2 linked regions of the Drosophila melanogaster genome follow. The protein of the gene in region 1 interacts with the protein of each later gene in a pairwise test. Each region holds a gene or a part of one and is shown in the gene's direction. Other genes may lie near its edges.

Region 1 (3,957 bases):
TATCTAGTTATGAATTTTCATATATTTATTTACCATTTTTTTTTTTTTTTAATTTTTGAGATGGTCAAGATCGCAGGTGAAGGAATAATAACTATCAGAGGGTAATGTGACTTCGAGACCAGCCCTTTTCTTCGGTTTCTTGCTGAATTGTGCACGGCAAAAACAATTACAATTTCGCAAACAAAGATAATTTGCGAATGAGATCGACGACACGACACAATGGCACTTTACAACAACAAGAAGAACAACACGACAAATGGGGCGGGTATGGGGGTCTGTCAAGAAAACCTGAATTTCGAAATGGAAGGGCTAAAAAAAAGGTGAAAAATCAGAAATCAGAAGCTTCTTTCCAATTCCAGAAGTCAAAACGCTAATCGGTAATCGACAATTGCTTATCGGTCATCGACAGTTTTCGCGTTTTCAAATTGTTTGTGGCTGGCAATACAAGGTGAATTGTAAAAAAAAAAAATTAATAAGTGCGAGCAAAAAATGCGATCACATAGCAAACAAAGCTGCAAATCAAGCGAAACAAACACGTCGCCCTCTTAACAAGATATAACCGGGTTAAGCACAATAATATATCTTTTAATATAAATACTTATTCATATACGATAGTAAAACTGATAAAAGATAATTTTCAAGAGAATCTGTTAAGATTGTGAACCAAAGTCTGTGCATTCAATTTCCAGCTAAAACCAAACAACGAAAGACAAAAAGAACAGATTGCTAATTAAAATTTATGGGTGTCATAATTTTCCGACAATTAAAAGTCTCATTTTACAGCAAGAAATATTGATTTGGTCAGCAGTACCATGTGAAAAAATATTACTGATATATTGCAAAACAACCATTTTAGATTTCCATGTGCCATAGCTTTGGCTTTCAGCTATAACTTGTTTTAAACAATATAAGCTTATTTTGCATTACACGTTTAATTAAATTGGGACAGCATAAATTTTTGATAATTACAAGCACCTTTTCCAAAATCGAAAGTAAATCAGCACCTGCCGTTTAATAATTCACTTTGGTGAGCAATATTTATTTTTTGCCAACTCCGCGCTTTTTTAAAGAAAATTTTGTAACCGTAAAACACCAATATAACAATCCATTGCATTCATAGTAATTTCCATTTTAAAACATTGTTAATTTACGGAAAGAATAGTTTAGGAAACTTTTAATACAGTAAGTTGACTTAGTAGCAGAAGAATAAACTTTAATATTAAATATTTCTTTAACAAAGTTAAAAACTTTGCTATCTTCCTTACAACCTATGTTAACCACAGTGACAACAATGATCTATGAGTAAGCGTAAAGTTTGCTTAATACATTATATTATAGTTTTGATATTATACTTTCATAAATTAGTATGGTTGGGTAAATGGTTGTAATTAATATATTGAAAAATGTAAGATCTTATGACTGACATGTGACCACAATAGAGTTAAGTTTAAGTTCTTTTTTAATATAGTTTAACTATTAAGCTATTACTCCATGGTTTCATATATCTTGTGGAGTAAAGTGCTGTTAACATGTTCTGTAAACATATGATACAACTTTCCTTAACTCTTCGACCATTGTGCTGTTAAGTTAAAAATACCTCTTAATATACTTTTATTATTGATAAATAGTTTAGATTCATATACATATCTTGTGGCGCAAAGAACTTTTAACATTATCCATCAACTGAATGGAGAGTTTTCAGTAGGAGTGTGACCACTGTGCGCCATCGTTTCGCATCTCGTAATTTTGCTTGTGTTGTTGCTGTTGTTGTTGCTGCTGCTATTATCGCAGCGAGTTGTTGCTGCCGGCGACGATCTTCGTTTTGTCGGCGGCTTCAGTTCAGTTCAGTTTAGTTCGAGTTCGCACTCGGCCACAAACGGTCGGTCGGTCGGTCGGTTGTTCGTTCGTTCGTTCGCTGAAGGAGAATTGTGGAGAAGAAATTGAACCCGTAATCTTCGGAATCCGTAAAGCCGTAGTCCCGTAGTCGTAAGGCGATCGCGAGAATTGAAATTGTGCTGCAACTCAAGTAAAATAATATTGTGTCGCACAAGATCACTGCGTGTCGCGCTCAATTAAATACACATCTTTTTTTTTATATTTTTCCCCCGGTCTTTATTTATTTTTTTTTGTTTAATTTTTTTTATTTGCGCTACAACGTTGTTATTTATATTTAATTGTTTTGTAACAACAACAACAACAGCAGCCGAGTTAAGTGCGAAAAGTGAAGTGAAGTTTGTCGGCGAGTGAGTGCGAGTGCGCACAAAAATTGGAGCAGGTTCCAGAGATCTTGAGATCTTCAGAACTAGAGATTCCCAGTTCCTAGGCTCCCGGGTTGCGACTTTTGGCGGCATTGGCGTTCCCCTGGTAATTTAATTGAAAGTGATGATCGTAGCCCATCCATAAAGCCACTTACCGGTAGTTCCCCCATCCTTTCACAAGTTCAAGTTCACCGACCACGCGGACTCCTTTTTTCGCTCTTCCACCCGCTCTCTCTTCTCACTCTATCTCTCTTGATCGCTTGCCCTTCTTTCACTCGAAGAAAATACAGTGCACACTCGAGATGGTGAATTTGGATTGGCCATTAATTGCTCCCAGTTTGGGTTATCATACTAAATCTTTGTACAATATCTTTGGAAAAAGATTAAAACCTAACTTTAAATAAATAGTAATAATTACTGCTGTACAACTATTCTTTTTTTTTTCTGAGTGAAAAGCTCTTTTGTCTTTCTCGCCAAAAGTGCGTTGGATTTCTTTACATTGTGCCTGGTTCTCTTCGGTTTACACACTCGGTACATTGCACCCTTGGTCCCTGTTTCCTTTAGTGTCGTCTTTCGCTTTCAATGCATTTTGACAGTGGATTGCTAATCGGCCAGGTATTCGCAGGCCACCTTATAGCACCTACCATATATACCCATCGTACATCTACATACCATTCATACATACAATCGCATTCGCATTCGTATATTCGCATTCGCATTCCTGTCGCCGTTGTCATTTCCTCACCTCATCGGGCACCGCCCTCTTGCTTTCACGCACCTGATGATAAACGGCTCAAATTTTGATAATGTGTACGGATTGTGCTGCAAATTGCTCAAATGGCTAATCAGCTGTTGCTAGCACATATGTATAACCCCCTATACTCCATATCTTTCCAATGAAATCGGCGGGAAATTGGCTTTGTCTCGAGTCTTATCGCATGCCAAAAAAAAAAAACGAAAAATCAAAAGGCAAAAACCCAAAACTTAAGTCTGAGCTCCAAGTCTAAACCAAAACCGCAACATCATCTCAATATTTCCTTAACCACAAGTGCACAGAGCAAACAAGGTCTACTATTACTATTGACTAATTAGGCATTCTTAAGATATAAAAATATATAAATAGAGCAAAATGGTATAACAATTATAATCTATATTATCTAACATAATATCCAAAACCGTGGTGTGCGTGAAACGTGCCCTAATTTTCGCTCTGTGTGCGTGCATCAGCGGATTGCTGATAAGTGGAGAATGTTTATTGTCATTACCTGTGTCCCACTACCTGTACATTCCCCTACCCTGCGGTACTACCCCTCCGGTCGATATGGTATTCCTCATGCAATTTGCGGTTGTCACAGCTATTAGGTTTAGATAGTCCACTGTAGCGGTCTTATCAATGGGTTGCTTTCGCTGGTCAGTCAGTCAGCCAGGTATCTCTGTACGTACGTATGTTTGCCATGCCAGTATTATGATAGCGATCGTCAGTGGTTTACTTCGCTAATGATCCTCGTCGCTCAGCATGGGAACATCGCATCTGTATATGCCCACTAATCCCACTCGTATATTTTGGCTTTTTTGGCTTATCGCGATGGTCATTTAAATACACGTAGGAATCGTTGCGATCCCATCATATACATACAAACGTATGTGCCCAGATATTTTTGGGATACCATTTCCTTTCTTCGGGCTCTTTCCAGTTAAT
Region 2 (3,600 bases), on another chromosome or scaffold:
CCCTGAGCTGGCGGCTGCAATCCCAATCCCTGGCGAGGAGACAGCTGCTGGGGCTGCTGTTGCTGCTGGGTTTGAGACACCTGTTGCTGCTGTTGTTGCTGGGACTGGGATAGCACCTGCTGCTGTCGCTCCTGGATGCGTTGAAACTGCTGATCCTCATCCCTCTGAGGACCCGCCCTCAGCTCGGCCGGAGCCATACCATCGACGTACTTCACATCCGCCGGATTTGTGGCCGGTTGCTGTGCAATCGAGATGTTGACATGGGTGGCCGCATCCACCTGGCTGCAGGCCACCAGCAGGAGCACCAGCACTCCTCGGAACATCCTGTTCTAATCCTGTTACCAATCCGAAGTCAAAAATCCTAGCTGTGTGTCCAATCACTGCTGACCACCACCAAAGCTGACCGCTGTCTGATCGATAGTGGAGTGTGCTCCGCATATTTATACGGATTTTGGGTGGATTCGGAATCAAAATTGGGGGAGCGATCGCATTCGCAATCGCGATCGCGATCAGTGTCAAAGTCAACTGCAGCACTGGGAATAGCAATGCATACACACTATGGCGACAATAGCTTCGATAGCTTCGCTACTGACCTGGGCCAAACTGTTTAGGGATGAGTCTCAGATGCTTAACCTAGTTCTACAATTAAAGGCATTCGAGCGATCGCATTTGAGCGATGATGCATTCAACAAATTGCTGTCATCGCTTCACACTTGTGTGGCACGCACCAGCACTGAGAGAAAAGGGGCCTAAGTTCGTTCATATATCACAGATATATCATTTAATATGCGATTTTATTAAAATAATTTCTTGGGAAAATTTGGGAAAAGTTCTTTCGGGTAAAAGAAGCTAATCCAATAGAGATCTTTAATTTCGCTCCAGCTCATCAGTTTGGTTTTTCTCCGCCTGATCTCCACTGCGAATTTCGATGGCATCCGTAAATGGTGAGTGCAGCATTTTCATGTAATTGTCGGAAGGTCGGAGTCGCCGCTCCATTGGCAGCTGGTTTGAACTTGAAATCCGGCCGAGACGTTGAACTGCTCCACTGGAGGAGGAGCAGCTCGAGATCGGCGCCCCAATGGGCTGACGGATTCGCATTTGTTGGTTTTGGGGGTGCTGGTCAGGCAAACTTGCGCAATCGAAGTTTGGCGAGCATTTGGCGAACACTCGGAGCACTCGAATTCGGAAAGAAGGTAAAGGTTAATGTGAAGTACTTTTGCTTCTTTCTGCACTTAAAGTAACCACCAATAAGGTCAAATTGGTAAGGGGGAATATTTTAAAACAGATATTGCCTACTCACAGAAAAAGTAACTTTTCTTTCAAAAATATCTAAAGGATATTAAAGCAAACTTGTTTTGAATATCATTATAGAGAAAGGCAAATATGGGTTTTAAAATCTAAAACTCAGACTAATTGATCAAGGTCCTTTCAAAGATTAATTAGTTTTAAAACAATGCGAGCTTTCGTGGTCATTAAGTTGAACAAGTTTTCAAAAATTGTGCTCTACCGTTGAAAACATCATACCTTTCTTTTGTGAATTTCGTTTTTCCCTTAATATGACATCTCCAAATTTCACAGTCACCTAACAAATATATATGGCTTGGAAACAGAAAAATAAACTCCTTTTTGACACTTGTAAAAACCAGTTAAGCTGTGGCGCCGTAAACGCCAGATCCTCGATGATGCAGTCCATCCAGTCTAGGATCAACGTGCTTAACACCATTGCTGCTTCCAGCAAGCGGATTGAACGCGCCAGCGTTGACACGGTAAGTCCGAATTGATACAGTTCCAACTACCGATCAAAGTACGTGCCCGGCGTCGCCAAACACCCAGGTGATAGTGTGGTAACCACGAATGGCGTTTATTATGTTTGCGGGTGGGAATCAAAACCAGTAAGGAGTAGACAATATATATACCATGCGGTGCATGTGGCCGGCCACAAGACTATCTGTGGCCAGACGGTTACAAGCTAAAGCTACGCGAAAACACAGTCCAAAAGAGCAGCTAACGTCTAGGGCACATCTACAGCAGCTTTTCAATGTCCTTGGCGATGTCCATGGGATCGGTGGTCGGGGCATATCGGTTGATGGGCACGCCCTCCTTGTTCACCAGAAACTTGGTGAAGTTCCACTTGATTCCGCTGCCCAGGGTGCCGGTCTGCTTGGCCTTTAGGTATTTGTACAGCGGCGCCGCATTGTCTCCATTCACATCGACCTGCGGGGGTGGGGCAAGTTTAGTGACTCGGTCTACAGCAATCGGCTAGCAGCTTTAATAGTCTTACCTTGGCGAACACCTCGCCGATGTCAGCCTTGGAGTCGCGCAGGTGGCACACCATGGCCTCTCCATCGGCCTCCGGCATCTGGGACCCAAACTGATTGCACGGGAAGTTGAGGATCACCAGGCCGCGCTCGCCGTACTTCTCCTTTAGATCCGTCAGCTTCTCGTAGTTGTTCTTGGTCAGGCCGCACTTGGAGGCGATGTTCACCACCAGGACCACCTTGCCCTTGTACTTTTCCAGGGAAACATCGTTGCCATGGGTATCCTTCACGGTGAACTCGTAGATCGAGGCGGCGTTCTTGTAATCTCCGTTAGCAGACATGTCGATCTGGAAGCAATAGAAAGTGGGAGTTAGAATTGGGTAATTACTAGTGGCTGTGAAGGCTTGGGTCGATGTTTTGATCAAGAGATATAGATATTTATAGCCTTATCTTCAATCGGGGTATGAAACACTATATTCTGTATCAAAATCGACCCAGGCTACGCGGTTCATTGCAGTGAACAGGCAACAGAGAACAGAGAACAGAGAACACAGGCAGTGGCAAAGGCTACAACGTTTAGTTAGGCGCAGAATCAAGCAACTGAGTTAGTCAACGGGTTAGGATCTAGTCAACTAGCAATCAGCACTACTCACGGCAGCTGCTGTGGAGTGCTGGGCGGCTGAGGAGATGGCGTTCATGGGCGTGGCCGCACAGCTCACGGGAAGCATGATGGTGCAGAGGCGAAGGCACTGCCTCTGACCGCGACTCAGCTCGAGGACGGGGCCAGGGGTCCGCCTCATCGAGTAGCACCTGAGGGCCTGGCGGGAAATGTTCTGAAACTGCCTGAGACTCATTCTTTAAATGCTGCAAATAATAACCGGGCAGAATGTTCAAATTTAGTGAAAGCTTAGGCAAGTGAAGGAATTACTGGTGTGGATGTGTACGTTGTGTATCAGATCGAACAACAATCGTTTCAAAACAATTCAAATGGGAAAATATAAAAATCAAGTCCACATTTCTACTGATTAACGAAATAGTTAAGTAGATAAGAGCAAGTAGTAAGTAAAGTAGTAAGATAGCTCAAAGCTATCTTATTTCCGAATAAGAAAGTGTGGAAATGTATGTGGTGTATAGATTGTATTCGACAACCCGACGACAAACATCCAAGATTATTTCACGTTTTGATAATGGGTTTCCTAATAGTTGTATGTTGTTTCATAGACATTTACGAGGGTGCTATCAGGCTTCTGGTTACAGTGACGCTGCATAATTCATCGGGGTCAAAGTCAAGAGCTATATGTACATATATGTATATCCCAGCACCCTGTGAGTCACGCAACCT

Evidence for each region. Proteins that work in one complex are often made in the same cells at the same time.
Region 2: the proteins of spri (region 1) and Strip interact in a two-hybrid assay, tested with the Drosophila melanogaster proteins (one study listed by BioGRID).

Annotation. Positions count from the first base shown.
Region 1 is NC_004354.4:10,583,317-10,587,273, reverse strand, and holds the start of spri (sprint), read left to right. Parts: upstream 1-1,851; 5' UTR 1,852-2,364; intron 2,365-3,957. UniProt on the Drosophila melanogaster protein: Potential Ras effector protein. May function as a guanine nucleotide exchange (GEF), by exchanging bound GDP for free GTP.
Region 2 is NT_037436.4:3,326,865-3,330,464, reverse strand, and holds the start of Strip (striatin interacting protein), read left to right. Parts: upstream 1-1,593; 5' UTR 1,594-1,595; coding exon 1,596-1,766; intron 1,767-1,838; exon of another isoform or gene 1,839-2,022; coding exon of another isoform or gene 2,023-2,214; intron 2,215-2,281; coding exon of another isoform or gene 2,282-2,605; intron 2,606-2,911; coding exon of another isoform or gene 2,912-3,112; exon of another isoform or gene 3,113-3,122; intron 3,123-3,600. Other genes in the region: CG14961 (uncharacterized protein), read right to left, coding at 1-323; Gtpx (glutathione peroxidase homolog with thioredoxin peroxidase activity), read right to left, coding at 2,023-2,214, 2,282-2,605, 2,912-3,112.